Linked DNA regions of Stegostoma tigrinum. The protein of the gene in region 1 interacts with the protein of each later gene in a biochemical or structural test. Links are inferred from orthologs where the notes say so. Each region holds a gene or a part of one and is shown in the gene's direction. Other genes may lie near its edges. The genes, in order: fbxl17, sufu and klhl12.

What was found.
Region 2: of the proteins of fbxl17 (region 1) and sufu, one has a biochemical effect on the other in vitro, tested with the Homo sapiens proteins (2 studies listed by BioGRID, with this or other methods). The link is inferred for Stegostoma tigrinum from reciprocal best matches to the Homo sapiens genes FBXL17 and SUFU.
Region 3: the proteins of fbxl17 (region 1) and klhl12 form a complex in vitro, tested with the Homo sapiens proteins (3 studies listed by BioGRID, with this or other methods). The link is inferred for Stegostoma tigrinum from reciprocal best matches to the Homo sapiens genes FBXL17 and KLHL12.

What each region holds. Positions count from the first base shown.
Region 1 is NC_081356.1:80,973,016-80,983,071, forward strand, and holds the start of fbxl17 (F-box/LRR-repeat protein 17), read left to right. Parts: upstream 1-4,035; 5' UTR 4,036-4,106; intron 4,107-4,113; exon of another isoform or gene 4,114-4,257; intron 4,258-10,056. UniProt on the Homo sapiens protein: Substrate-recognition component of the SCF(FBXL17) E3 ubiquitin ligase complex, a key component of a quality control pathway required to ensure functional dimerization of BTB domain-containing proteins (dimerization quality control, DQC).
Region 2 is NC_081373.1:7,322,407-7,333,144, forward strand, and holds the start of sufu (suppressor of fused homolog), read left to right. Parts: upstream 1-6,621; 5' UTR 6,622-6,804; coding exon 6,805-6,941; intron 6,942-10,738. UniProt on the Homo sapiens protein: Negative regulator in the hedgehog/smoothened signaling pathway. Down-regulates GLI1-mediated transactivation of target genes. Down-regulates GLI2-mediated transactivation of target genes. Part of a corepressor complex that acts on DNA-bound GLI1.
Region 3 is NC_081374.1:45,322,638-45,333,635, reverse strand, and holds the start of klhl12 (kelch-like protein 12), read left to right. Parts: upstream 1-6,058; 5' UTR 6,059-6,238; intron 6,239-8,110; 5' UTR 8,111-8,225; intron 8,226-8,643; exon of another isoform or gene 8,644-9,189; intron 9,190-10,036; 5' UTR 10,037-10,088; coding exon 10,089-10,271; intron 10,272-10,998. UniProt on the Homo sapiens protein: Substrate-specific adapter of a BCR (BTB-CUL3-RBX1) E3 ubiquitin ligase complex that acts as a negative regulator of Wnt signaling pathway and ER-Golgi transport.

The sequences.
Region 1 (10,056 bases):
ACCATCTGCCAAATATTTGCCTCTTCATTTCACTCATCATCCATTGTCATCTCTTTAAGTCCCCTTGACAAAATACTCTTGCCCATCTTTCTGTCAACAGAAAATTTGACTACAATGCAGTCAATACCTTCATCAAAGTCATTAACGTAGATTGTAAATAGTTGAGCAAATAAAAACCAAATGAAGATGCTGTGAAAAATTTCTGAGGAAGGGTCACTTGCGCTGCAATGTTAACTCTGATTTCTCGTCACAGATGCTGCCAGACCTGCTGAGCTTTTTCAGCAATTTCTGCTTTTGTATCTAATCTCTGTGGCACTCTGCCAGTTACGACCTGCCAAGAATGATCTATTTACCCTTGAACAATCCTCTGTGCATGCTAATCAATCATTCTGACCACCATGAGTTCTTATTTTGTGCAGTAAAATATGATTTGACATTTTTTGAGATCTAAGTACACGTCTTTAACGACAATGTTTGTTACTTCCCAAAAGGACTCTAATAAATTAGTTAAAGATGATTTCCCTGTAGACTCTGCTTGATTAACCTATACACAATTGTCCATAAAACACAGGAAACAGGAGGAGGCCCTTCAAGCTTGCTCCCCCATTCAATATGATCGTAGTTGATCATTCAATTTAGTATCTTCTTCCTGATTTTTCACCATACACTTTTATTCTTTTAGTTCTAAGAGCTATAACTAACTCTTTCTTCAAAACATTCTTAGTTCTTTACTGTTAGTTGCACTCCCTCAAAAGCCACAGCATCCCTCCTCAGATAAAGAGACCAAAACTGCACACAGATTAGAAGACAGGGAAAGCTCAGTTTGAAGGACCCCACTGCTACATATATTGAAAATCCACTTCAATGTATTTAACTAAATCTGCGTAAGGCTATTTGTCTAGCCAAAACTACCATATCTGATGGAAAAGACAGGGAACATATCTACCAACCAGTGACAGAATTTCATTCACAAGGCAACCTGACTAAGGAACTAACTACAATGCTCTAGAATAAAAAGGCTTTTTATCAAAAATTGGATTACAATGCATGTGGCAGAAGTTTGATTTGTTCTACAGTCATCCTGATTTAAAAGACTTTTCTCTCTTTGCCAGGAAAATGGTCAGTAGGTAACAAAATAAACGATCAAGACATATATGTTTTTTATTAAGAGCACAACACGTGCAAGAAATGAGCCTCTAATACTTGGGGACTTACATTTTAAATGTATGAAGAAAGCATAGTTGAGTTATTAATCCTGTTCACCTCACTATACACATCCACCACTGCAAAGTCAGCTCTGTCCACTTTGTTGAGAGTCATGTGATTTACTGGAGCAATTTAAGAGATCTTATGGATATCGCCAAACAAGGTTCAGACACTCAATGATTCAAATTTCTCCAAACCTTTTACAACAAGTTCACCATTTGCAGGAAGGTATCTTTATTTATCAAAGTGTCAGCAGCATCTTTAGAGACAAAAGCATCTTTATGTTTGCTTGCAATCCAAATCCGAATATGTTTTTACTTATTTTTGCGTTTGAGTAGGAAGTGACTTCTAGCAGCTAATATCTCATAGATCAATGTTTTCACACCACCTGTGCATAGACAGTTGCTTCGAAGTAATTGAAAGATCTGCAAAGAATGGCTTGTAATGTATTATGCACCTTGTAAACGACTGTCAGTATCTGACAGCGCCTCTCATCCACCTTCCTGCAAAAATGTCACCCCCTAATCCCAATTCCTGCTCCTGAGATGAGGCATTCCACTCCTGGACATGCCAGATATCCTCGTTTATCAAGGACTGCAACTTACCCCCCACTACGGTCAAGAACGCCATTGACCACATCTCTCACGTTTCCCGCAACCCATCCCTCACACCCCCTTCCCGCAATCACAACCAAAACAGAATCCCCCTCATCCTCACGTATCACCCCACCAATCTCCGGATCCAATGCATCATCCTCCAGCACTTCCGCCTGTGCAATCTGACCCCGCCACCAAAGAAATTTTTCCCTCCCAACCCTTATGTGCCTTCCAGAGGGACAACTCTCTCCGTGACTCCCTTGTCCGCTCCACACTCCCCACCAGCCCCACCAACCCAGCACTTTTCCCTGCAACCGCAGGAAGTGCTACATCTGCCCCTACACCTCCTGCCTCACTCCCATCCCAGGCCCCAAGAAAATCTTCCACATCAAACAGATGTTCACCTGCACATCTGCTAGTGTGGTATACTATATCCGCTGTTCCCGATGTGGCCTCCTTGACATTGGGGAAACCAAGCGGAGGCTTGGAGACCACTTTGTGGAACACCTAGACTCAGTTCACAACAAACAACTGCACCTGCCAGTTGCGAACCACTTCAACTCCCCCTCCCACTCCTTGGATGACATGTCCATCCTGGGCCTCATCCAGTGCCACAACGATGCCACCTTAAGGTTGCAGGAACAGCACCTCATATTTCACTTGGGAACCTTGTAGCCCAACGGTACCAGTGTGGACTTCACAAGCTTCAAAATCTCCCCACCCGTGAACGCATCCCAAAACTAGCCCAGCTTGTCCCCGCCTCCCTAACCTGTCCTTCCTCCCATGTGTCTGCTCCTCCCACTTCAATTCCCACTCCCACCTCCTACCAACCAGCTTCATCCCTGCATCCCTCACCTGTCCATCTTCCCCGGACTGACTAACTCCCACCCTAATTTCCCATCTACACTCACCTTTACTGGCTCCAACCCTGCCTCTTTGACCTGTCCGTCTCCTCTCCAACTATCTGATCCTTTAACCATCTTCCATCCGCTTTCCCTCTCTATTTATTTCAGAATCCCCCTCGCCTTCCCCTCCCCCATTTCTGAAGAAGGGTCCAGATCTGAAACGTCAGCTTTCCTGCTCCTGGGCGGCACGGTGACTCAGTGGTTAGCGCTGCAGCCTCACAGCGCCAGGGACCCGGGTTCAATTCTAGCCTCAGGGGACTGTCTGTGGGGATTTGCACATTCTCCCCGTGTCTGCGTGGGTTTCCTCTGGGTGCTCCGGTTTCCTCCCACAAACCAAAGATGTGCAGGCTATGTGGATCGGCCATGCTAAATTGCCCATAGTGTTCAGGGGTGTGTGGGTTATAGGGGGATGGGTCTAGGTGGGATGCTTCAAGGGGCGGTGTGGACTTGTGGGGCCGAAGGGCCTGTTTCCACACTGTAGGGAATCGAATCTAATCTAATCCTCTGATGCTGCTTGGCCTGCTGTGTTCATCCAGCTCCACACCTTGTTTATCTCAGATTCTGCAGCATCAGCAGTTCCTAATATCTCTGTCAGTATCTGACACTTCTATCATCTAGACAGTGAGTGATTACAAAACGATTAAGTTTAACATGGTCTGGGAGTTGAGCGCTCCCACAAAAGGGAATCCCAGGACGTACAATTTTTAAGAGATAAATTTTCTGGAAAATTAGAGAAGTTGAATAGGTATAAACAGGCAGAAAACGGCGGAAAATCTCAGCAGATCTGCCAGAATGTGTGGAGATAGAAAGAATTACTATTTCGAATCCACTCTGTTTCTTCTGAAGTTCCAGTATTTTGCTTTCATTCGACCACGAAAAGTTATGGGTGAATGATATATTTCAAGATGTCACGCTGAAAATACAGAAAGAAAACAATATCAGACGAAACAAATGTGACCGAAAACTAATGAACACAATAAATACAATACAAAAAGGGACAGATTCTGCAGAGAAAAAGGGATGAGAGTCACTGGAGTGATGAATATAAACGCAGAAACATATTAACAGGAGAAGGGAGAGCGATTGAGAACAAGGTCGGACAAAGATCTTGATCTAATTTTAGGAAACAAACAGCTGTCGGGTCCTCTCAGTCACCAGCTCGAAGATTCTCACCTGACAACAGCAGCAGCAGCAGGTCACCATTATTAAAGCTCTGTCCCACGGCAATGCTAACAATCGCCTCACGGTAGGTCCCCGCTCAGCGGTTGATCACTGCGCGGCTGGGATCTGATTAAAAGGCGGGATCACCGAGTGACGTTCGCTGATCGCCGCCAATGAGGCGCGCGGACGGTTTGAGCCGGCCTCTCAGTTGAAGAATGAGGCCTTGTACAGCCGGAAGGTCTGCATCAGTTTATATTCACTATTTTTTTTCCAATAAGTAGTAATTGTTTATATTTTCTAGGGGGAAAAAAAACACACACACAAGAATGATGACGTCTCTGTGTTTAAGTATGCAAACGTGTGAAGGCGGTAGGAAGGAATAGTCGCCGGTAGGCAGCACGCTTCTTCCTGTTATTTACAGTTTGCGAGACAAACACTGGGCAGCTGAGGCCTTGTTTGAAATGAGTATGTGTGAAGCTGCATATTGGAGCTGGAATTTAGGAAGTCGGAAATGCTGCTACAGTCCTAGTCTCACATTGGGACAGTAGAGGATGGAAACTCTTTACAGGAAGCAGTACAAGTGGTTTTGAGTACTGAAATATTATGGAGATATTAAAAATTGATCATGTTTTTAATCTCGCATTCAATTTACAGTCAATAATCAGATTGTTTTGTTAAACCCTTCACTTAATCTATAACCATTGTGATTTGAATAAAATGCCCTCTGACATTCTTCCGCAATATAAATAGCGAATAGGGAAAATGTACAAGATGTAAAGAAAACCTCAGGTCACGTTAAATCTATAATATAAATGCATTTTGAATTTTATTAAATACTAAAAGGACAATTTGAAATATTTTTTCAATGCATGTGTTTGTTCAATGCACAGTAGTTACATTTTCAATTCTGGTTTAATTACACTTACATGAAATGGTCCTGTTGGGTTATAATTAGTTTCCAATCTTGCATTTTTCATTATTATTTACAAGTGCAGTGATAGTAGCCCAGAGCTACATAAAGTGTAATGGTTTGGTTCTCCATGGATAAGAGGTTTTGTCTGAAGTTGCACTGACATTTCACCATGTACTATTCCATCTAAAATCAGTAATTTCACACAAGAAAGTGGAACTAAATTATTTTTATTTTGAAAGATTGTGCAATATCACAGGGCTTGAGTCAGTCAGGATTGTTGATTTTTTTTTGTGGTTAGAACTACCTTTAAAGTTTATAGATACATGTTTACACGGATGACTTCATGTAAATAATTCTATCAATGTCCTTTTTAAACAGTGATGTGATTAGTTCATAAGACTAATATTCTTGTAAATACAATTTATACAAGTGAATTATAAATTAAGAAAAACATCCAGAAACACTTCAGAGTTAAGGGACAAATTAGATGCAACATCAAGGGGGAGATATTTGGAAAGAGCATCAATCTGCTTGGTCCGATATGTTAAGTCTTGGCGGACGATACTGTATTTGTACAAATGAAGGAAGGGGATAGGCACCAAAAGGTATTATCAGAGGAACTGAGAATGGGGTGAGGTTCATAGATTGAATAAAATTGTTAAACTTAAATTATTGGGAGATGTAGAGTCAGTGTGTGTTGAGGATAGGTGTGTTGGTCATGGTGGATGATTGAGTACAAGTAGTGAATTTGTGGGTATGTGTTGATTTTAGAGATTTTTTTCTGGAATGGAAAGCTCACAATTAATTGAGTCTAGAGCTGATAAAGGCTTAAATCAAGGTTTCAATAGCAGATAAGTCTTAAGAAAGAGCAGTAGGTTGAGGCTTTTCTGCCCATTGAACCTACTATGCTACCTAGTATGAGTATGACTGATCTGATGAACCCACCTCCCTGCTTGCACCTGTTACCTTTTTTGAGTCTTTGTTAACAAAAATCTATCTCACTCAACCTTGAAAATGCACAATGACACGTTCTCCAGTATTCTGTGGAGGAGCATTCCAAAAAATATGATCTCTGCGAGAAGGAATTCCTCCTTTAGTTTTAATGGGAAATCTCTTATTTTTAAAGTCCGTCCCCTACTTCTAGTCTTCCCCACAAAAGGAGGCATTCTTCCAGCAGTAACAGCGTACATCCCCGTCAGAATCTTATGTTTAAATAATATTACCACTTATTCACTCCAATGACTATCAGCGCAATCGTTCATCCTTTCTCCATGAGTCAACCCATTCACCCCAGAAACCAGCCAAGTGAACTTTCTGTGAATTGCTTCTAATGCAAGGGAAACTCCTAGAGATAGGAAATAACTCACCACAGTACTTCAGCTTCAGACTCATCAATGCACTGTTGCAGTAAAATTCCTTCCTTTTACTATAAAATGTTGGTGGGTAAAGGCTGACATCAAATTTAACTTAATAATTACCTCTGCCGCTGAAGATGGGTGGAAGAGATGTTTTTGCTTTGTTTGCTAGTCTGTTTGTAAACAATATATGTCAGAAACTACTGAATGATTTTAACAAAACTTGATATACAGATAGAGTTAGCACAGGGAAGAGCTATTACATTCAGATGGGAGGAAAAGAAAACTGGTAACAGGAAGTTATTGGATATGGCTTTAAGCAAACATTTTGGATTAAGTAAGACCCAGATCTTTGCTGTGCAGCATTCTGTAGTGTTTCTCCATTTAAACAATGTTCTATTTCTCTTTTCTTCTGGCCAAAGTGAATAACCTCAAATTTTACTACATTATTCTCTAGCCAAATATTTTCCTAACTGATGTCATCAGTATATATATCCCTTTGCAGATCCTTTGTATCCTTTTCACAACTTATTCTGCTGCCTATCCTTTGCATTATCAGCAAATCTGCAGATAATATAGTTGACTTCATCATCCACTTCGTTAATACTCGTAAACAAACAGTTGAGTCCCACCTCTGATCCTTGCGACCCTCCAGCATGCCAGCCTGCAAGTGACTGCCATTTTTCAGAATCTATCTTTGTTAGCTAATATGCTGAAAACATTAATATATCATCCCAAGCAAAATGGATTTTTATCTTGTGGCAAGGTATTAAAATGATTTTGGTAAACCGTCATGTTTACTGGTGTCTGTTTTTCCACCTTGCTTAATACTCGGTGAAATTTTTCAAAGCGGTTGCATAAATTGTTCAGATGTTAACTTCCCTTTCACAAAGCCATGACATTCTACTCGATTTTCTATCTGTCCTGCGTCTATCTTAGTAATAGATTCTTGTATTTTAATATTGACAGATGTTGGATGCAACACAGCTGTAGTTCCTGATTTCCAGACTGGTGTCTCCCTCCTTGAATAGTAGTATTACATTTGTGGCTTTCTAATCCTCTTGGACACTTCCAAAATCTAGGGAATTTTGGAAGAGTAACCGACACGTCCACAAACTATGCAACCACATTTTTTCAATGACCCTAAGGTACAGGTCAATATCTTTTTCTCGAGTGATGGTGATAGTTTTAAGGTCTTTCACCCCTGCTTTTTTGCAAATCTGGGGGTACTTTTTGTATCGTTTAGTATGATAGGTAGGTAGGTACGATGTAATTGAAAAGTAAAAAGAAGTAAAAAGTCTTCCTCATGAAGACCATCTGGGTTGAAAAATCTGAATATCGGTCAGACAGGCCAATAAGGATGTGGAAGTTCTGTTTCATCCGAAAATAATGGCAGTCAGGACATGAAATAGGTAGGAAGGTATGAAGCTTTTGGCAGGCCAAAAAGTGGCTCGAGTCTGCCTGTTATTTAGTTGGGGTGAGGTTATGTGTTTCCATGAAAAAGTGTAGGTTAGATAGGCTTCAGATTGGTTTATCAGGTCGGCGCAACATCGAGGGCTGAAGGGCCTGGACTGCGCTGTAATGTTCTATGTTCTATGGTGGATACACGGTCTGAACATGCTTGGAGTGAGGTATGACAGTAATGTATCACTAGTGTATCTGTGAATGCTAATGGAATATCTGTGGATTGTGTCACCAATGGACAATATGGACTAACCTGAATCCAAGAATGAAACTGAAGGGAATTTTGTAAGTAATGGTGCAGAGAAAGTCATCAGTGTGGATGTTCAACCGACATTTGTTTAGGTAATGGGACCTAGATGGTGTTGAAATTTTGGAAGAAGATGGTGCATGGACGTCAACAGAGAGCATATTGGGGGGGAAAAATGCAACCCTGATCATGTAAAAATGGTACATTCATTTTAGCTTTATTGTGTTTCGACTAAAACTAGATTGGAACAATTGAAACAGAATTTTTGGAGATGGGCAAGGTGACGATATAAGCAGGTGGCAAATATATCTTTTGGAATGAAGATTGAAATCAAGCATTTAGTTAACAATGACATGCTGATGATTGTGGTTTTACAAAGAGAGAGGTGTTAGTTGTTTTGAGAAACTAGATAACTGGACTTTGAAATAGTTTAGAATGTCAGCTGGCATGCAAGAGGTAAGAAGGGAGCTGTCATTGGGAAATTAATAAAAATGGAGTTAAAATTTTTTTGTTGTGTTTTGTGAATATGATGAACTTAGCAAATGTGTGAGAAACTAATAAGGTACACAATCTGGGCTATGCTAGGTAGTAGAGAGCATTTGGTTTATAAGGGGACCAATCAAGCATTTTTTTCCCTCCCAGATGATCCCTGTGACATGAGATGTGCTGGCAGAGGGAGTGAGTTTCTGTGGAACTTCACGTGTTTTGGGTAGATCCGATGATGGATGGGAAATCTAATTTGTCTATAAAATATTCTTATAAAGTAACTTAATTAAATGGGATGTTGATTCTTCAAAATGAATGGGAAAGAATTAATGCTTTGTTCAATACAAAAGCACTCATTTTGTGTTTGAGTTAAACTGTTGTGGTTGATGTAGGCTGATTTAAATACAATTAACTCCTCTTGGATCTGGATAAAAATTAAGTATAATGTGGTTTTGGAACATCACTGTAGTCCTTGATGTTGTGATAATACTCTTAAGTGGTTTAAATAGGGATGAAAGTTTTGGGGGAGTCTTTTCCTGCTCTGTGCCATGTTAAATTGAGATAATCCCCACAAATGTTTGAAATATCCTCTGATAGAGATTAGGGAAGACCTGATGAAGGGTGCCTCTGAAAAGAATTAGATGTCTCTTGACCTTCTGGTTGTCAACTTTAGGACAAGTTTGTGCCTTGGAGAGTGTATTTAACAAATTGACAAAGAAACATGTTCACATCATTTTGTATTACACAAAATCTACGTGACTGTGTCAAATGGCTTGAGATGATTTTCTTTTATACAGTCTTGTTTTTATTTTGCTAAATGCTGATTGCCTTTTAATAAGCAATTTCAAAAGTTGAATTGTACTTTTGCTTCATGTAGCAATACAATGAACAAATTGTAATTTGAATTGGCTTTTAGAGCTGCAAAAGTTTGCCTCATAATAGTGATTTTGAGATAAGCATTAGGCAGTTAGGAGCATACATTCACAATGGTCCAAGGCAGTGGAGGCCAACTCTCTGGATACTTTCAAGAAAGAGATGGATAGAGCTCTTAAAGATAGTGGAATCAAGGGTTCTGGGGATAGGGCAGGAACAGGATACTGATTGTGGATGATCAGCCATGATCATAATGAATGGTGGTGCTGGCTCGAAGGGCTGAATGGCCTACTCCTGCACCTATTGTCTATTGTCTGTTAACTACTTTCGTCTGTTCTTCTGTTGAATGAGACCAGTGGCTGAACTCCATGCACCTAACTGCCGCCTTTCCCTCGATGCTTCTAGTTAACAAGATCTATTCTTTTGAATTCATGAATTGATCTGAGCTTTCATGTGAGCGTTTCAAATGCCTGTCACCTTTTGCTCGTTGCAATTTTTCTTAACTTTGCGAATAGACTCTTTTTAGAACAATTACAGCTTTGGAGGAAGTCATATTTGGTTTGTCATGTCTGTGCTGGTTCTCTGCAAGATCAATTCCCTGCCTTTTTCCTCATATATTTCCTGAATTTGTTTTCACTTTCAGACGATTATCCACTTCTGTGGTAGGAAGAGCAAAGTTTTTTTGGTGCTGTTGACAAAAGGGGAGGAGGAGTGAGTTGAACAGATGGTGAGCCTGCCCAAGGGGAGTGTTTGTAGTTGGAGATGAGAGATTGAGATGTAAAATAGATTAGATTTTTCTGAAGAATGGTCTCGACCGGAAACGTCAGCTTTTCTGCTCCTCTGATGCTGC
Region 2 (10,738 bases), on another chromosome or scaffold:
AATCGGGTTAGGAGAGGTCTTTGATGATGTTGGCTGCCTTTCTGTGGCCACGTGAAGTGTAGATGGAGTCCATGTTGAAAGGATAATGAAAAGCATCATATAAATGCAATTAATATTTAAACATTTCAAAATCACAAGATAGGTTAACATGTCTGGTTCGTGATATTGATGCTTATCTTACATTTTTATGCCTCATCACTGAAACGGACTATTTAATGAATATCACATTCTTGTGCAAAAATTGTCTGCTGCTTTGCTAATGTTATATCAACTTGGGTTGTCCATTGGTCAAGAAAGGTGATATAAAACGCAAGTTGTAGTTTCTTTTCTCAGACTTGGTATAAAAATACCGATACAGCATTGATTAGAAAGTATTAAAACATTGACTAATATGGAATGATCACTTAAGTCAGCCTATTGGACAGGGTCAGGAAGACAAAAGTTGAGCAAAACAGCCCTGGATTGGTAGGGAATGTAGGGGATTATGAACAGGAGAATTAAGTCGAGAAACCTAGGAGACAGTTGTTCAAACATGTAGATATTTACACCCACACACTTTCAAGCTGCAAATCCTTCCCACAAATTGTGGTGTATGGATATTTTAAACAACCTGTCCAGACACATTGTGACATATCTTGAACACAGACTTTCTGGCCCACAGTTATTGACACTGGATTGTGCCTGAGAGTCCTTACTCGTGGTCTAGTGGTTTTCAATCAGTGTGCTGCAACAAAGTGAGAAGTGCATGACAAAATTTTCAGGAAGTAGCATTGCTTTACCTGAGTGTTGAGGCTGTGTACATAGCTTCTGATCTCTTCCAGAGTTTGGGTGTCTATTATTGAAGGCAATATGTGCTGACACTACGTGCCCCTATCAATTGCACATGCACAAGCCTCCAGAGCTGTGCATGCGTAGACTCATGTGACATGAAACAGTGCGTGTTGCCATGGAATTGTTTGTCTCATTGAAGTGTGCTTTGATACTGCAATGGTTGGGAACTGCTGCCTTACAGTATCAGTGTACTTTGTTGATTTCTGTGGCCTGACTTGAAGTTTTGTACATCAGATTTGTTCACTTTAGCCTTGTGTGTATAACCATTTCCAATAATAAGGTATTGTATTTGTCACAAATAAGAAAAGTAAAAGTTGTTCAAGATAAGTCTTCTGGTTGCCAGAATACCATGATCAGTGAATTTCTTGGACCAGAAGCAGTTACCAAACAGTAAAAAAAGACTTGCACTTATATTTTTGCATTTTCACATCCAACAGACCAGAAGCAATGTTTTCATTCTGCATTTGAGAAGGTTTTATTATTTTTAATACTAATAATTAGATGTTAATATGGAAGGCTAATCAGGAAGGCTAATGCAATATTGGCACTTATTTTTGAGGGGTTTGGATTATAAGCATAGGGAAGTCTTACTGCAACTGTACAATGTGCTGATGAGATGACATCTGGAGTACTGACAGGGGAGTTCAAAACTAGAGGGCATAGGCTTCAGGTGAAACGGAAAGGTTCAAGAGGGACCTAAGGGCAACATTTTCACGCAGAGAGTAGTGTATGTATGGAACAGCTGTCAGAGGAAATGGTGGAGACTGGTACAATTACAACATTTAAAAGGCATCTGGATGGGTACATGAATAGGAAGGGTTTAAAGGGACATGTTTCAAATGCTGGCAGGTGGGACTAGATGAATTTAGGATATCTGGTGGCAGGGATGAGTTGGTCTGAAGAATCTGTTTCCATGCTGTACAGCTCTATAACTCTACTGTGAGCAGTTTTGATCCCCTTATTTAAGGAAAGATATTATCTCAATAGACACAGTTCAGAGATGGTTCACTAGGATGATCCCTGGTATCGAGGGTTTGTCTGATGGGCAAAGGCTAAATAGGTTGGGAATCAATTAATTGGAATTTAGAAGAATGAGAGGTGATCTCATTGAAACATACAGCAAGCTCAAGGGGTTTGATTGGGTAAAGGCTGAGAGGATGTTTCCCCTCATGGGAGGCTCTAGGACCAGAGGATATATTCTCAGAATAAAGGGGTGTCAATTCAAAACTGAGATGAAGAGGAATTTTCTTCTCTCAGAGTTGTGGGAGTTTGGAATTCCTTGCCGGGACAGAGCATTTGTGTATATTTGAGGCTGAGACAGATAAATTCTTGATTGATAAGGGAATTAAAGGTCACGATAAGATATAGGAAAGTGGATATGAGGAATGTTCAATCAGCCATAATTCTATTGAATGATAGAGCAAGCTCAGAGGGGCCAAATCGCTATTCTTGTTCCTATTTCTTATAATCTTATTATGATCTTATGGAAACTGTCATGCATTGTTAAACGTCAAGAACCTATCAGTTTGCATATAGGCAAGTTATTTGGATTGTGCCCAAATCAGGAAGTGAATGCTTTGTTGTTAGTGTTAATCTGTCTTTACATGGTTACAATGTCAATGACGCTGAGGTATGAATACTCATCAACTATGTTATTTAGAACTGTATCTTTGAAAATGATTGTGAGCTGAAATACGATGCTGTTTTAGCACAATATGCTTCATTCAGTTAGACTTAGATTCCACAATTAGTATTTGAATTAGAAATTGCATTATTCATGTGCAAACATCACAGAATGCAGCATGGTAAACATAAGATTGTTTCCTCTGAACAATTTTCAGACCAATTCTGAATAAAAAGTACTGGAACATATAATTGTTTTCTTCAGTTCTGGTACCATCACCAACTTTGTATTGGTGCTTCTGTGTTTCATTTTCATTCATGGAATTCATAGGCCATCAATCATCCATGATTGTCCGAAAGGTGGTGATGAGCTGCCTCTTTAAACAGGTGCAGTCATAGAGAAATACAGCATAGAAACAGATTTTTTGGTCCAACTTGTCCATGCTTACCAAGTTTCCAAAACTATACCAGTCCCATTTGCTTGTGTTTGGCTCCTTTCCACTTATGTACCTGCCCAAATGTCTTTTAAATGTTGTAACTGTACCTGCGTCTACCACTACCTTTGGCCGTTTATTCCACATATGAATCACTCTCTGTTCAAAAAAGTTGCCCCTCATGTCCTTTTTAAATCTTTCTCCTCCCATCTTCAAAATATGCACCCTGGTCTTGAACTCCCCCCAACCCTAGGGAAAAGACCTTTGCTATACACCTTATCTATTGTCCTCATGATTTTATAAATGTCTAAAAGGTCATCCCTCAACCTCCCATGCTCCAGTGAAAAATGTCCCAGTCTATCCAGCATCACCTCACAACTCAAGCCTTCCAGTCCTGGTAACATCCTTAGAATAGAATCAAAGAAGAGAATCCCTACAGTATGGAAACAGGCCCTTTGGCCCATCTAGTCCACACCGGCCATCAGAGCATCTCATCCAGACCCATCTCCCACGTAATCTATACATCCCAAAACACTACAGACAATTTAGCATAGCCAATCCACCTAATCTGCACATTTTTGGAACGTGGGAGGAAAGCGGAGTACCCGGAGGAAACCCACGCAGAGACAGGGAGGATGTACAAACTCCACACAGACAGTTGCCCGAGGGTGGAATCGAATCCAGGTCCCTGGTGCTGTGAGGTAGTGCTAAACACTGAGCCACTGTGCCGCCCAATAGTTGGCAGCAGTGGGATATCCTTGTAAATCTTCTATGCACCCTCTCCAATTTAACAATATTCTTCCTATAGCAGGGTTACTAGAACTGTACACAGTATTCCAAAAGTGGCCTCATCAACATCCTTTACTACCGCAATATGACGTCTCACCGCCTATACTCAATGGTCTGAGCAATGAAACAGGCATGCCAAATGTCTTCTTTACATCCTGTTGCAACTTTCAAACAACTAGTACCTGAACTCCTAGGTGTCTCTGTTTGAAAGCACCTAACCAGGGCCCTATCATTAACTGATAACCAAGTGTGGAGCTGGATGAACACAGCAGGCCAAGCAGCAGCAGTTCCCATTATCTCTAAGTCCTGCCCTTATTTGCCTTACAAGAATGAAATACCTTATAATTATGTAAATTAGACTCCAGCTGCCACTCCTGGGCCCATTGGTCCATTTGATCAAGACCTCTTTGTCATCTTAGATAACCTTCTTCACTGTCGACCATACCACCAACATTGGTGTCAGCCACAGACTTATTAACCATGCTTCCTAAATTCCCATCCAAATTGTTTATATAAATGACATTCACTAGTAGACTAATCACTGATCCCTGCAGAACACCGCTGGTCATAGGCCTCCAGTCCGAAAAAAAAATACCCTCCTCCATCACCCTCTATCTCCTACTGTCAAGCCAATTTTGTACTTAATTGACAAGCTCTCCCTGAATCCCATGTGATCTAACTAAACTGACCAGTCTACCATGAAGAACATTGTCAAAGGCTTTTGGCACCGCAATAGTGAAGGAATAGCGATGCAGTTCCAAGTCTGGATGGTATGTGGCTTGGTGAGAAACTTGTGGGTGGTTGCGTTCTAATGCATCTGCTGCCCCTGTCCTTCTGTATGGTAGAGGTCACAAGTTTGGTAGCTGCTGTCAAAAAAATTTTGGGTGAGTTCTGCACATCTTGTAGATGCTACACACCGTTGCCACTGTGTTTCTGTGGTGAAGAGAAAGAATGCAGAAGGTGATGGGTTTAGTGCCAATCAAGTGGGGTGTTTCATGGAATCCCTACATTGCAGAAAGAGGCCATTTGGCCCATTGAGTCTGCACCACCACCCGAAGAGCATCCCATCAGACCCTCCCTATCCCTGTCATCCCACATCTACCACGGCTCATAACCCCCCTAGCCTGGGCACCCGTGGATACCACATGACAATTTAAAATAGCCAATCCACATAACCTGCACTTCTTTGCAATGTGGAAACAAACCGGAGCACCAGAGGAAATCCATGCAGACACGGGAAGAACGTGCAAACTCCACACAGACAGTTACCCAAGGATGGATTCAAACCTGAGATCCTGGTGCTATAAGGTAGCAGTGCTTACCACTGAGCCACTGTGTCCTGGTATTTATTTGTAAATATGTTCAATTATTATTTTTATCATGAACACGATGGTCAGTCTACTGTCTTTCAGAATTGACAGCATAACTAAAATGGCTTGGATTTTGTGGTGAGGCAAAGCAACAGGTAAAGTGAGATAGAATCATTAGGGAGAGGGCAAGAGTGCTTAAGGAGCATTGTGGAGGGTTAGACAAGAAGCATTAGCAGCAGGGCAAGGGGCAGCGAGAGAGAGAGAGAGACAGTGTAAGTGTGGGAAGGAGGGTATAGTAGGACAATGTCAGGAACAAGATAACGGGTAGAGTGAGAGAAACAGGAATGCAGTTAATGGTAAAGGGGACAACTAGCATGAGGGACAAATGAAGCTTAGCACCTGTACTGTGAAGGGGTTGGTTGGCAGCAATGAACAGTTGAGCACAGGCAACATGAGGGACAGGAATTGATTGGGAACGAGGGGTAGGGGAATCATTGGCAGTGCAACAGACAAGCATTCAATTGGCAGCAGCAGCGTGATGGGCAGTGATTTAGGAGCATGATGGACAGAGGACTGTTGAGAGCACAAGGGGAGGACATGGGGGGGGCAGTTGGCAATGTGAGGGGATGTCAGGGGACAGTCGGCAGTGTGAGGGGAAGACATGGGGGAGGGAAGCAATCGGCAGTGTGAAGGGAAAACATGGGGAAGGGTGGCAGTTGGCAATGTGAGGGGAGGACTTGGAGGGCAGTTGGCAGTGTGATGGGAGGACATGGGGGCAGTTGGCAATGTGAGGTGAGGACATGGGGGGCAGTTGGCAGTGTGACGGGAGGACATGGGGAAGGGTGGCAGTGTGACGGGAGGACATGGGGAAGGGTGGCAGTTGGCAGTGTGAGGGGAGGACATAGGGGGAAGTTGGCAGTGTGAGGGGAGGCCATGGGGGAAGGGGCAGTTGGCAGTGTGAGGGGAGGACATAGGAGGAAGTTGGCAGTGTGAGGGGAGGCCATGGGGGAAGGGGCAGTTGGCAGTGTGATGGGAGAACATGGGGGCAGTTGGCAATGTGAGGGGAGGACATGGGGGCAGTTGGCAATGTGAGGTGAGGACATGGGGGGCAGTTGGCAGTGTGACGGGAGGACATGGGGAAGGGTGGCAGTTGGCAGTGTGAGGGGAGGACATAGGGGGAAGTTGGCAGTGTGAGGGGAGGCCATGGGGGAAGGGGCAGTTGGCAGTGTGAGGGGAGGACATGGGGGAAGGGGCAGTTGGCAGTGTGAGGGGAGGACATGGGGGGGCAGCTGGCAATGTGAGGAGAGGACATCGAGGGCAGCTGGCAGTGTGAGGGGGGGAACATGGGGGAAGGGGCAGTTGGCAGTGTGAGGGGAGGACATGGGGAAGGGTGGCAGTTGGCAGTGTGAGGGGAGGACATGGGGGGGCAGCTGGCAATGTGAGGAGAGGACATCGAGGGCAGCTGGCAGTGTGAGGGGGGGAACATGGGGGAAGGGGCAGTTGGCAGCGTGAGGGGAGGACATGGGGAAGGGCGGCAGGTGGCAGCCGCAGCGGCGCGAGCGGGCGGCGGTTACGGAGCGAATCAGCGCGAGCGCGGGCGGGTGGGGGAGGTGGAGGAGGGGGGGGAAGGGAGGTGAGAGCGGGGACGGCTTGGCCCGGAACGGAAGGACGGGTCGGCTGACGAGTTTGACGCTTCGTTGGGGTCGAGCGCGGTGGACGCCCGAATTCCAGAGAGAGAGAGAGAGACAGGATCCACCTTCAGGCCGAGGGACACCCACAACATTCCCGGGTAGACCGGCGCTGGGACAGCCGAGCCGATGGAGGAGTTGCGGCCTAGCGGCCCCGGCATTGCGGCGCTCCTGCCTCCGGGTTTGCACGCTATCTATCAGGAGTGCAGACGACTTTACTCGGACCAGCCGAACCCACTGCAGGTCACCGCCATCGTAAAGTACTGGTAAGTCCCCGACTCCTGCGCTCTCTCCTCACCGGTTGGTCTCCAGCCCGTTTCCCGAGGCCCCATGCCCGAGAACGATTAACTTAGTGTAAATCAAGGCAATAAAACGGTTTCCATTTGAGGAATATAAACGCACACTTTTTCTCTGCAATGTTTAAAGTTCAATTTTCCCCTCCCTCACTTTTCAAAAAGTTTATGGCAGCTTCGGGGAAAAGAATGTTTTCATTATTTTGTGTTTTGATGATGGGAGTTGGCGCTATACTGTTTACCTTTCCAAATTCAGAAAATACATTCTGTACCGATATCATCTGTTTAACCCTTTTTGCAGAACTGGATCTACCATCCTACCTAAGGCAAACTATAAATAAACAACTGCAGTTTTTACATAAGTATCTGGAGCTTGCTATGCACGTCGTTGTGGAAGAACTTTTGTTTTTATCATTTGAGTTGATTTCAACGAGAAATGGTCTAATAAACAAGGTACAAAAAGGGGTAACAATTTTTGTCTTTTCTAGTCAATTTTTCCACAACAAAAAACGGTAGCCAGCAAACGCCTTTTTATCATCAGCACATAGGCAAATCCAATCATTTTCTCTAATTCCAAAAGTAAACCATCCTTTGAGAATTTTCAACTTGAACTGGTAAAACTATTAGTAATTTTGCTGCAGTTTTTAAAAAAAATGCAGAATACATAGTCAAAATTCAACCTGCTTAAGAATATTTGACTGAACACCTTTTTATAATGTGTGGTAGAAATATTGATCCGTTAACAAACGACTAAGAATAAATTGAGATTTTATGAAAGTTGATTTAGAATTTTAAACTGTCATGTATTTTCATTGACAGTGTGAATTTCAAATATTAGTTAAAAACCAATTTGTACTATGTTACCATAAATTAGTTGTCCTCTGCTGAGTATCATTCAGCACTTGTGAACTTGATGAAAGGAGAAGTTTTGATTTATTTCAGTAGCTATGCATCTAATGTAGGGTTCACTTGTGGTTTTATGTTTGGGACATATTTCCCTATACAGATCAAGGATGGTCTATCCATTGAATGATGGATTTGGATCTCTTGAGGCATTTAATTTTGAATGTTATTGTTTCCATATGCTAGGATATCCTACACAGCATGTGTCCTATTCTGTAGTTTTGGGTAGTCTTGTCTTTTTATGCTGGCCTATAAATTTATTCAAAAAATGTTGGCAAGTTTGATTATTTTGGAAAATAACTATTGAATGTATAAAGGGAAATTGTAAAGGACGATTCTAACTTTTGACCTCTTTGTACACAAATCTACCTAAATTTGCTTTCTATCTGACTGTCTTCTTATTGTTGGTACTTGCTTTGTCTTTATCTTTAGTGTCCTTTCTCTCTAATCTCAAGGCCTAACTACCTGATACAGCACAGATCATGAATTCTGTTAGATTTTATGGGAAGTTACATGATGGTAAACAATGACTGCATGATAACTGGTGAGGAAGAAATTTGTAGAGATCCACAAACTCCCCAGTGAATATAACTTTCTCGAGCCCCTCCTCCTTCAAGTTTCAAGACTCCTTGTAGAAATATCTGTATCATCTATAACTGGGTGAGGTGCCTGATGGCAGGAGGGTGGCTAATATTGGACCTTTGTGTAAGATGGGTTGTAAGGAGAAACTGGGGAGCTGTAGACCTGAGAGTCTGATTTCACTTGTAGGTAAATTGTTGGAGGTGATTATAAAAGATAGGATTTATGGACATTTAGAGAGGCAAAAATTGATAAGTCAAAGTCAGCATGGTTTTGTGTGAGGAAAATCATGTCTCACAAACTTGACTGAGTTTTTTGAAAAAAGTTACTAAAAGGGTTGACAGAGGAGCAGACGTTTATTTGGATTTTAGTAAAGCCTTTGACAAGGTTCTACATAGTAAACTAAATAGTAAAGTTAGGTCACATGGGAATCTTGGTGACCTTGCCAATTGGCTACATAATTGGCTTAATGGAAGGAGACAGAATAATGGTGGAACGTTGCTTTTTGGGCCGGAGGCCTGTGACCGACGGTGTTCCGCAGGGGTCGGTTATGAGTCCTGTTTTGTTTGTCATTTATATAAATGATTGGCTGAGATTATAGAAGGCATGGTTAGTAAGTTTGTGGATGACACCAAAGTTGTTGGCGTCGTAGGCAGTGAAGAGGGCTTTCTGCAGATTACGGAGGGGTCTTTATCAAATGGGTCAATGGGCTGAAAAATGGATAAGTACAAGGTGTTGCATTTTGGTGCAGCTGACAAGGCTAGGGCTTATACAGTTAATAGTAGGGCCTTGGGTGGTGTTGTAGAACAGGAGGACCTAGGAGTCCAGATATACAAATCTTTAGAGTTGTGTCACACACAGACAGGATGGTTAAAAAAGTGTTTGGCACACATGCCTTCATTGCTTGGTCCTTAGTGTATAGGAGTTGGGACATTATGTTGAGATTGTACAGGACGTTGGTGAGGCTTCTTCTGGAATAGAGTGTCCGGTTCTGATTGCCCAGTTATAGGAAGGATATTATCAATCTGGAGAGGGTTCAGAAGGTATTCAGCAGGATATACGAGGTATGAAAGGTTTGAGTTATAAGGAAATGCTGGATAGACTGGGACTTTTTTTTTCCACTGGAGTTTAGGAGGTTGAGAAGTGACCTGATAGAAGATTTTATAAAATAAAGAAAGGTCTATTTAAAGTCTTTGTAAGATTTGTAACTCGGGTTGTGGATGATGATGTAGACTTGCTGAGCTGGTGTGTTTGGTTGCAGACATTTTGAAACTTTGCTAGGTAACATGGCCAGTGTGCTACTGTTGAAGAAGAAACATCTGCAATCAAACTAAAATAACAAATTGTGGAGCTGGATAAACACAGCAGGCCAAGCAGCATCTCGGGAGCACAAAAGCTGACGTTTCGGGCCTAGACCCTTCATCAGAGAGGGGGATGGGGAGAGGGTTCTGGAATAAATAGGGAGAGAGGGGGAGGCAGAGCGAAGATGGAGAGAAGCGGAGAGTATAGGTGGGGAGGTAGGGAGGGCATAGGTCAGTCCAGGGAAGATGGACAGGTCAAGGAGGTGGGATGAGGTTAGTAGGTAGGAGATGGTGGTGCGGCTTGAGATGGGAGGAAGAGATGGGTGAGAGGAAGAACAGGTTAGGGAGGCAGAGACAGGCTGGGCTAGTTTTGGGATGCAGTTGGGGGAGGGGATGAGCTGGGCTGGTTTTGGGATGCGGTGGGGCAAGGGGCGATTTTGAAGCTGGTGAAGTCCACATTGATACCATTGGGCTGCAGGGTTCCCAAGCGGAATATGAGTTACTGTTCCTGCAACCTTCGGGTGGCATCCTTGTGGCACTGCAAGACACCCATGATGGACATGTCGTCTGAAGAATGGGAGGGGGAGTTAAAATGGTTTGCGACTGGGAGGTGCCGCTATTTCTTGCGAACCGAGCGGAGGTGTTCTGCAAAGCGGTCCCCAAGCTTCCGCTTGGTTTCCCCAATGTAGAGGAAGCCACACCAGGTGCAATGGATACAGTATACCACATTGGCAGATGTGCCGGTGAACTTCTGCTTAATGTGGAAAGTCATCTTGGGGCCTGGGATGGGGGTGAGGGAGGCGGTGTGGGGGCAAGTGTAGCACTTCCTGCGGTTGCAGGGGAAGGTGTTGTGGGGTTGGAGGGGAGTGTGGAGCGAACAAGGGAGTCACGGAGAGAGTGGTCTCTCTGGAAGGCAGACAAGGGTGGGGATGGAAAAATGGCTTGGGTGGTGGGTTCAGATTGTAGATGGCGGAAGTGTCGGAGGAT
Region 3 (10,998 bases), on another chromosome or scaffold:
CTCTGCTGTCTATACCTGACATATACTTCCTTCTTATTCTTGACGAGAACCTCAATTTCTCCAGTCATCCAGCATTCCCTACACCTACTAGTTTTGCCCTTCACACTCACAGGAACATACTGCCTCTGGACTCTCATCTCATTTTTTGAAGGCTTCCCATTCATCTGCTCTATCCCCCTATTCCTACCCTCACTAGCTTGTGGCACCGGGAGTAATCCAGGTATTACTACCCTTGAGGACCTCCTTTTGAAATTCCTGCCTAACTTCCTATCTTCTCCCCTCAGAATCTCATCCATTTCTCATCCTATGCTGTTGGTTCCAATGTGTACAATGACTTCCAGCTGGTCCCACTCCTGTTTGAGAATATTCTGCACTTCTCCAAAATATCCTTGATCTGTGTATGAGGGACAGAACATAAGAACATAAGACCATAAGACATAGGAGTGGAAGTAAGGCCATTCAGCCCATCAAGTCCACTCTGCCATTTAAATCATGGCTGATGGGCATTTCAACTCCACTTCCCTGCACTCTCCCCGTAGCCCTTCTGATGTCTTGCTGTTGGCCACAGAATCATCTGACTAGTGACTCCCCTATCACAGTTAGTCACTTGGAACCTGACGTACCTCTCATTATATTAGAGCCAGTCTCATACCAGAAACCTGGTTGTCCCTGCTACATTCCTTTGAGAGTCCATCATCCCTAAACGTTCCAAAACAGCATATTGGTTTGAGATGGGGATAGCCACAGAAGACTCCTGCAATACCTACCTCCCTCTCCTACCTTTCCTGGAGGTAACCCATCTTCCTGGCTATATTGCAGTTTTTCTCCCTTTCCGAAAATGTCATACATCACAACCCCTAGCTCCTGTAGATTCCACATTGTCTCTCGGTGATGCTCCAATCGATCCATGCGATCCAATAACATTTGCAACCAAACATAGTTCCTGCCGACATAGTCATCAGTAACACAAAGACTCCCTAGTCTCCCACATCCAACAGGAAGCGTACAAACACTGCTCTAAAGGCCACCATTACAACTATCTACTGTCTACAGACTCAGAAAATAGCACAGTATTACTGCTCTAAAAACACTGCTCCGAGCTAACTTAGAATCTGTTTTTAGTATCTGTGTCAAGAGACAGATCGCAATAAAACATATAATTGCAAGAGAACCCACTGTTGTAGTTGTACAAAATAATTAGTAAGGTTACACTTTAAAAAGCCACTTAGTTGCTCCCCTGCTGTGAGATGTCCAACACGGGTTTCTCCTAGGTCAGCTGTGAATTTTACTGTTTGTTAATTTTGCTTGGATGAGCTCCGATGGCCAGAGATACTTGAAATCAAACAGCAGAACAGTCAGCTAGGTCAGACCCAGCAGTGCAGATTTATTTCTCCGTTTGAATCCCTTCCCACCTGGTCATTGCCACTGCCATTGTCTGTCTTCCTGTTTTTTTTAAAGCTGTTGTTTTGATCTGTTTTTTTCTCCCAGTCTTCCAAAACAATGCAACAGGTTATAAAACAAGAATTACTGCTCCTAGAATTTGAAGAAATCAGCTCAAAACTGAAAATACCTCAAAAAAGGAGCAACTCTTACAGACAAAATGCCTTCTTATCCTTTCTTAAATTCATTCACAGGACGAGGGCATCGCTGTTAGGCAGCATTTATTGCCCATCCTTAATTGTCCAGAGGGCAGTTAAGAGTCAACCACATTGCTTTGGGTCGGGAGTCACATGTAGGCCAGACCAGGTAAGGTTGGCAGTTTCCCTCCCTAAAGGACATTAGTGAACCAGGTGGGTTTCCCCCCCAACAATTGACAATGGATTCACGGTCATCATTAGATTCTTAATTCCAGATATTTCATTGAGTTCAAGTTCCACCATCTGCCGTGGTGGGATTTGAACCTGGATCCTTAGAATGTTATCTGGGTCTCTGGATTAACAGTCCAGCGATAATACCAGTAGGCCATTGCCTCCCTCCGATAAGAGTCCTCTCCCTGTCCCTAGACCTCTTCACCCAACTCCAACAATCTCCCTGGACCCCTCTCTCTGGCCTTTTACCTGCACTCGACCTGTTCATTGAGAACCATTGACATGGCATTAGTGGCTTCAATTTCTCTGCTCCCCTTACCCATTCAAACCCATCTCCCTCAGAACTGACCGCACTGTGTGCTCTCCAATCCTACTCTGACTTTGTAATCAAGCCTAGCAATGTGCTGTTGTTGTCTGATATGCTGGCTTCTACATTATACTGGCTGAGTGCAGCTATTAGACTCGTCCTCCTATCTCGGTCCTGGACCATGACCCTACCATTGAACACCAGGCTATTGTGTCCACTTGGTCACTAATCTCATTTCACTGGTGATCTCTGCCCTAACCCGATTGTTTTTCTCCCCTTGTCTAGTTCCTTTCCACTTACAAACACAATTTTTCCATCACTTTACATCAGTTCACGGGCTCCAGCAGCCTCCTCTTCATCTTCAGCGATGTTCAATCCCTTTCCATGTTCACCCTCCCTCAGAATGGTCTCAGGACACTAATCTAATAATCTAACTACTGCCCCCATCACTGAATCCCTCACTATCAACATACTTGGGGTTACCATTTATCAAAAACTCAACTAGAATCACCACATAAACACAGTGGCTACAGGAGCAGTTCAGTGATCAGGAAAACTGCCATAAACCACCTCCTGACTCCCAGAGGGAGGGGGTGGGAGATGACCATAGGAAAAGGTGGGGATGAGGGAGAGGGGAGGGTGAATGTTGGGGAATGAGGATAAAGCGGGGATGGGAAGGAGGGAGGGGGTGGGGGAAGTGTGTAGGTGTCGGGGACTAAGAGTGGGGGAGGTGTGGAGGAGCGGGATGTGTGTGTGGGGGAGGTAATAGGGGTGGGGGATGTGTGGGTGGCTGTGGGGGATGTATGGGGGAGGGGGATGTCAGTTGAGGGAGATGTGTGTGGGGGGAGGGGGATGTGGGTGGGGGTCTGTTGGGGAGGGGAATGTGTGTGTGCAGGGGGGGATTGGGGTAGGGAGGGGAAGGTGGGTGCATGTAGGGGATTAGTGGCAGGGGAGCTATGAGTGAATGTGGCGGATGGGGAAGAGGGTGGCAGTGGGGGAGGAGGGTTAGGGGTGTGGGAGATGTTGGTGGGAGAGGGGGATTAGGAGTGGTGGAAGAGTTGGTGGGGAATGGAGGTTAGTGGTGGGGGAGGTGTTGGTGGTGTGGGGACTAGGGGCGGGGGAGGGTGATTGGGGTGGGGGAGGTGGTGGTGAGCAGAGAGATGTTGTCGGGGGAGGGGAATTAAGGGTGAGTGAGGTTTTGGTGTGGGACAGGGAGGTGTTGGTGGGGGGTGGTTTAGGGGTGGGGGACGTATTGGAGAGGGAGGGGGATTGGGGTGTGGGAGGTGTTGGGGGGGTGGGGGAGATTAGGGATGGCGGATGTGTTGATGAGGGTGGTGGCTACGAGGTGGGGGAGGTATTGGTGGGGCTAGGAGATTAGGTATGGGGGAGGTATTGGTGGGGTGGGCTGGGCTTTAGGGGCGGGGAAGGTGTTGGTGGGGGAGATGTTGGTGGGGGTGGGCTTTACGGGCGGGGAGGTGTTGGTGGGGGAGGGTTTAGGGGTGGGGGTGGGTTTCGGGGTGGGGAAGGTGTTGGTGGGTGTGGGTTTTAGGGGTGGGGGAGGTGTTGGTGGGGGTTTAGGGGTGGGGTGGTGTTGGTGGTGGGGGAGGTGTTGGGGGTGGTTTAGGGGTGGGGGAGGTGTTGGTGGGGGATTTAGGGGTGGGGAAGGTGTTGTTGGGGGGTTTAGGGGTGGGGGAGGCCTCCCACACCCCTAATCCCCTTCCCCCTCCAATACGTCCCCCACCCCTAAACAACCCCCCACCAACACCTCCCTGTCCCACACCAAAACCTCACTCACCCTTAATTCCGCTCCCCCGACAACATCTCCCTGCTCACCACCACCTCCCCCACCCCAATCACCCTCCCCCGCCCCTAGTCCCCACACCACCAACACCTCCCCCACCACTAACCTCCATTCCCCACCAACTCTTCCACCACTCCTAATCCCCCTCTCCCACCAACATCTCCCACACCCCTAACCCTCCTCCCCCACTGCCACCCTCTTCCCCATCCGCCACATCCACTCATAGCTCCCCTGCCACTAATCCCCTACATGCACCCACCTTCCCCTCCCTACCCCAATCCCCCTCTGCACACACACATTCCCCTCCCCCACGGACCCCTACCCACATGGGAGGTGTTGGTAGGGGGCTTTAGGGGGTGGGGAAGGTGATGGTGGGAGGGGTTCAGGGGTGGGGAGATGTTGGTGGTTGGGGATTTTGGGTGGGGAGTTGTTGGTGGGTGGTTTGGGGTGGGGTGTTTAGGGGTGGTGAGGTGTTTGTGGGTGGTTTAGGGATGGGGGAGGTGTTGGTGGGGGGTTCAGGGGTGGGGGAGGTGTTGGTAGGGGCGCTTTAGGGGGTGGGGAAGGTGATGGTGGGAGGGGTTTTGGGGAGGGAGGTGTTGGTGGGGGGCTTTAGGGGATGGGCAAGGTGATGGTGGGAGGGGTTTGGGGGTGGGGAGGTGTTGGTAGGGGGGCTTTAGGGAGTGGGGAAGGTGATGGTGGGAGGGGTTCAGAGGGTGGGGACGTGTTGGTAGGGGGGCTTTAGTGGGTGGGGCAGGTGATGGTGGGAGGGGTTGGGGTGGGGAGGTGTTGGTAGGGGGCTTTAGGGGGTGGGGAAAATGATGGTGGGAGGGGTTTGGGGGGTGGGGAGGTATTGGTAGGGGACCTTTAGGGGGTGGGGAAGGTGATGGTGGGAGGGGTTTAGAGGGTGGGGAGGTGTTGGTAGGGGGCCTTTAGGGGGTGGGGAAGGTGATGGTGGGAAGGGTGTAGGGGGGCTTTAGGGGATGGGGAAGGTGATGGTGGGAAGGATTTAGGGGGTGGGGAGGTGTTGGTAGGGGGGCTTTAGGGGATGGGAAAGGTGATGGTGGGAGGGGTTTTGGGGGTGGGGAGGTGTTGGTAGGGGGGCTTTAGGGGTTGGGGAAGGTGATGGTCGGTGGGGTTTAAAGGGTGGTGAGGTGTTGGTAGGGGGGGCTTTAGGGGGTGGGGAAGGTGATAGTGGGAGGGGTTTGGGGGTGAGGAGGTGTTGGTAGGGGGGCTTTTAGGGTGGGGAAGGTGATGGTGGGAGGGGTTTGGGGGTGGGGAGGTGTTGGTAGGGGGGCTTTAGGGGGTGGGGAAGGTGATGGTGGGAGGGGTTTGGGGGAGGGAAGTGTTGGTAGGGGGGCTTTAGGGGGTGGGGAAGGTGATGGTGGGAGGGGTTTGGGGGAGGGAGGTGTTGGTAGGGGGGCTTTAGGGGGTGGGGAAGGTGATGGTGGGAGGGGTTTGGGGGGTGGGGAGGTGTTGGTAGGGGGCTTTAGGGGTGGGGAAGGTGATGGTGGGAGGGGTTTGGGGTGGGGAGGTGTTGGTAGGGGGGCTTTAGGGGGTGGGGAAGGTGATGGTGGGAGGGGTTTGGGGGAGGGAAGTGTTGGTAGGGGGGCTTTAGGGGGTGGGGAAGTTGATGGTGGGAGGGGTTTGGGGGAGGGAGGTGTTGGTAGGGAGGTTTTAGGGGGTGGGGAAGGTGATGGAAGGAGGGGTTTAGGGGGTGGGGAGGTGTTGGTAGGGGGCTTTAGGGGATGGGGAAGGTGATGCTAGGAGGTGTGTAGGGGGGCTTTAGGGGGTGGGGAAGGTGATGGTGGGAGGGCTTTAGGGGGTGGGGAAGGTGATGGTAGGAGGGGATTAGGGGATGGGGAGGTGTTGGTAGGGGGGCTTTAGGGGATGGGGAAGGTGATGGTGGGAAGGGTTTTGGGGGTGGGGAGGTGTTGGTAGGGGGGCTTTAGGGGGTGGGGAAGGTGATGATGGGAGGGGTTTGGGGGAGGGAAGTGTTGGTAGGGGGTCTTTAGGGGGTGGGGAAGGTGATGGTAGGCGGGGTTTGGGGGTTGGGGAGGTTTTGGTATGGGAGGGTGAGGATCAGCTGTTGAAAGATGTCACGTGAGCTTTCACTACGCGCGCATGCGTCAGGCCGTGCATTGTGGGTGTTGTAGTCCAGTAGGAGCCGCGGCTGGAGGGCGGTAAGAGCTCGGCTGGGGCTCGGGCCTTGGAGCTGCGGCCTGACCCCTAGCTCCTCTACACAATCTCCCATCCCCTCATCTGGGTGAGGAAAGGGCCGGCCGGCCGGCAAAACGCGGAGAGATGGGATCGGGAATGATCCTGGTAAAGATGAAATGTTCTGTGTTTTATGTTAAAGATGAAAACCCTGCAATTGGTCGTCAAGGCTGTACATCTCGGGGTGATCACTGAGGAAGATCGCTGAGGGGGGGTAGAATGGGATGATCACTGGGTTAGTCGCTGAGGGAGGGGTTGGGGTTGATCACTGGGTTCGGAGGAGATGGCTGAGGGGGTGGGATGGCTGGTAATCAATGGGGGAGATCACCGTGGGAGAGGGGAATGGGGTGGTCATTGGGGGAGATCACTGAGGTGGGAAATGGCTGGTCGCTGGAGGAGATCACTGTGGGAGAGCGGAATGGGGGTGGGTCATTGGGGGAGATCACTGAGGGGGTGGAATGGCTGGTAATCACTGGGGGAGATCACCGAGGGAGAGGGGAATGGGGTGGTCATTGGGGGAGATCACCGAAGGAGAGGGGAATGGCAGGTAATCATGGGGGGAGATCACTGAGGGAGAGGGGAATTGGGGGTGGTCATTGGGGAAGATCATTGATGGTGTGGGATGGCAGGTCATCACTGGGGGTGATCACTGAGGGAGAGCAGAATGGGGGTGGTCGTTGGGGGAAGGTGAATGGGGATGATGAATGGGGGAGGGTGTGATCACGAGGAAGAGACAAGATGACCAGCGTCCGGAGGAAGGGCAAGGTGGAGAGACCTCCAGGAATCCAGGTGGCATGACTGGAGTTGTGCAGATCCAGGATGCAGTAGAAAATGAACAGTAGGAGGAGAGGAGGAAAAGATGAGGAATCCAGAGAATTGGAAATAAACACAGAAAGGGGTAGCAAGAGGGAAGAATATGGGGAGACAAGAACAGCAGCAAAGGTCAATAAATAGACAACAGTGTTTAAAGAAGACCACATAAATGGTGCAGATACTTTGTGATAGACGAAGAATTAGTTTGGAAATTTTGACTCCAGGTTTAAAGGTTTTGATGTGGAAATAATTACCTCGGGGAGAAGTTTCCCGAGAGTCCATTCAAGAAGGTGTCTGCTCTGCATTGGTTCTTGGTTATAATGAGAATCCAATATGACTTCTTCAGAACTCCAGCAGTAGTTTGCTTTTATTTCTTAGTTATAACTACTTTTGCTGGTGCCGAAAAGGGTCTTGCTCACATTCGCAGTGGTTTCACGGGGAAAGCATCCAAGGTGCTTCGAATGTTTAAATGTTAAAAATTAAATAGGGGGGTTTAAGAAGGTAAGTTCCAGAGTGTGGACCTAATCTTGTTGGAGACTTTGACACTACTTGTGTTTGGGGTGGGGGTGGTTAGCAATATGGTTAAAGCAAAGGATTCAAGAGAGTTGCAGTAGAGTTTAAGATCTGCAGTAAGATGGCATCTTTAAACCTATTGGTAATGGTTGAATAGAGCCTATGGTTACAGACCCATGCCAATTGATTAAATGCTTTCTTTGTTGCACAAATATTAGTGCTAGAGCAGCGCAGGATGTGTTAACATACCAGAAAAGGGTCAACAAGACAGCTTGGAAGGTCCGTATGCATCCTTCCAAATGAAAGTACTCGAAAGAGGAGGAAACAGTTAACACAAAGAAAATCCCAGCTCGACCAAAAAGGTTTACAGAAGCTATTTAAGCCATTCTGTTATCAAGAATACTGTGGAACCATTTTTCTGTGACCTATTTAAAGTAAGTGTTTCCATAGTGCATGGCTGAATTACTGGAACAGGCTCCTGGGGGTTGCAATTTTCTACTGATAGAAAGATGTCTCCTGCCTGGAGAGGAAGCAGAGCCTGTAACACTGTAGTATTTTCATTTCCTGATACAGATTCAGGTTGTGCACACATGGTGGAAGTGCATTCTTTGAGAAATGAATCAATTTTATCATATTGATTTTTTTTAATTGCAGGTGATATGACTGGATATGGCTGAAGGCGATTGAACTGGGAGAAATTCTGTGAAATTAGCTTTGCCCGGTTCTGGAAGAACAGAAAATCTCAGGAGTAATTTTATGCTGCTGGCAGGTGATGGACTTCAGTTCTGCCATGGCTTATCAAATGTGGTAGTAACTCTGGTTTGGCAAACAAGTCTAAGAATAAGCCTAAATAAAAACCGAAAGAACTGTGGATGCAGTAAGAATAAGCCATCTCTGTGGCGTGAAGACAAATAATATGTCTAATTCGTTTCAGTGTTCCTAAAACATTCCCAAGTCATCTTGTCAGGCTGTTTTTGCAATTTAACCTGTTTTCATTGTTTCTGTGGTCAGACTACAGGGTTGTTTGTTGCTTTTCAGGATCACAAGGATCTTCAGGCTCCCACTGCATTATTTTCTGTTGCAGCACCTCTGCCAGTGGATTCTTAAATTAATTTATTCAGTTTAATCCACTAATACCAGATCTAGCCTCAAGTACTCAGACACCAGGTCTGTTATTTCTTGGACTTGATTGAGTATAAATATCGTAAAACTGTTGGGACAATAAGCTGTCAGTCTGTGCTCAGAATTGGAGCAATATATTTAACCTGTTGCCCTTATCTGAAGTGGAATAGAATCAAGAGTTGGCAAATAAATTGTGTTTGTGACAGGAAAGTGGTTGTAATAACTCACCAAGGCATTCTGTTTTAATCAGAAACCTTGGTGTTCATTGCGATAACCAAAGGTTCATAAGTGGGTTCCTTTGTCTGTTGTGATGTGGAATATGCATTTGGGAAACATTTAGGTGGAATTGATGCACTGTGTCTATTTCTGGGGTCAAGTCACATAACACCAGGTTATAGTCCAACAGGTTTATTTGAAAACACAAGCTTTCGGAGTCTTACTCCTCCTTCAGGGGTTCGTGAGACAGGTAATATCAGACACAGAATTTATAAGTAAAAGATTAAAGGGTCAATTTCTGGGGATGTTTTTCAGAGCAAGTTGAATCCATGCTGTCCAGACGAGGCCTGAATGTTGAGTTTAACATTTGGATCAGGCTCCTCTTCATCCAGAACGTGAGATCTTTTACATCACTTTTGAGAGAAACTTTAGTTTAACGTTTCATCTGAATGATATCACCTCCAGTTAGAATGAACTCCTTAAGCACCGGCCTAAAGTACTAAGGTTTAAAATCACATTGAGTGGGATATTAGTATTCTAGTACTAAGCCAAGATTAGAACCTTGAGAACTTTAGTGTGTTGGTGATGACTGAGTGATCTCTGCCTTGTGGTTGGATTAGAGACATGGTAACAATGGACAGAGTTACAAAGACGGTTCTGTTGTGTTGTGGCCTGCAGACATGTGCTTGTGTTTGTATTTGTGTTGGCAACAACAAAAAAGGGTAAATCTTAGATTGAAAATGCACTAATCCTAAAACTAAATTATCCCAAGATATCTTGAGAAATGAGTTTCTGATTTGCCATGCAGCAGCTTTTAAGAAGGGGATAGATTGCCATGGATGGACTAGCAGCAGTGTGGCGGCCTGTACTTGAGTGTTGGTATGGCGATCTCGTCAGTGTAACCAGTGAGAAGATATACGAACAGTCAGTGTGATGCACCAGATAGGGAATGGAAAGAGGTCTTGAGATCAAAACACAAAGAAGCAAATTGCCTCTTTAGGTTAGCCAACAGGTAAAATCATAGCAAAGAGCTGAGGAAAAAGATGGGTATTGCGGACGTTGTCCATGATTTCTCAGATAGTACTGTCGGATGTGCGTTTGTCAAATATTTTCTTTAAACAAAAATGCTTTAAAATCTATATTGATCCTACAGCCTCAAATTTTGCAAATAACATATTAAACATGAGAGCATTGATTTTCCTAGCTTTTTAATAATGTGTTGTTGGTGTGATTTTAATCCAGCTGTAGGTGATTATCTCTCTCTTCACTGACTCTAAAAGAGGAAAGGCGGAACATGGCTCCTCGGGATATAATGACCAACTCACATGCCAAGTCCATACTTAACACGATGAACTCTCTGAGGAAGAGTAACACCCTGTGTGATGTCACTTTGCGAGTTGATAGCAAGGACTTTCCTGCCCATCGTATTGTGTTGGCTGCCTGCAGTGACTATTTCTGTGCCATGTTCACCAGTGAGGTAAGCTGGCCATGAATTTGGCTGTAAAGGTTGGTTACTCCTTTCTCACAGTAACACTAACAGTTGTCGGCTTACCAATTTTAGTCAAATGAAAAGCAAAGGTATTAACGAACCACGTTGGAGAAGCGTGTTGCAAAAGCTTCAGCCTTCGTTTGATGTGCTAGGCACCTCTATCATTGAGGATAGGAATTTTTATAACATAACCTCCTCCAATGAATTATTTATAATTCTACACCATTATTCATGGCTGAATGTGTCAAGTCTGTAGAGCTTAGGTCTGACCTGTTGGTTTGTGAGATTGCGTAGCACTGTCATTTGTTTCTTGTACAGTTTGGTTTGCAAGTAGTTATGTTTGCAGCATCCCCGGGTTGGCACCCCATTTGTAGGTATGCCTAGTGCTGCTCTTGGTATCCCTTTCTGCACTTCTGTTTAGAGTTTGTCCCTTGGCTTGATGGTAATGGTAACTTCGGGGTCATGCCGGACCAGGAGGTTGCAGATTGTTTGTTTTTGAGAACAATTTTGTTGCTGATGGCACTTAACAGATGCCTAATCTTGAGTTGCTATATTTGTTAAAAGTCTTTTTTTAAAGCACAGTGGTTGTGCTATGCAACACGATAGAAGATATAATCGTTTTGAAGACTTTTACTTCATTTCCACAATGACTGTGCAGTAGTTACTCTTAGCAATACTGTAATTTCCTCACTGTCTGCCACAGACCTAGTTTAGC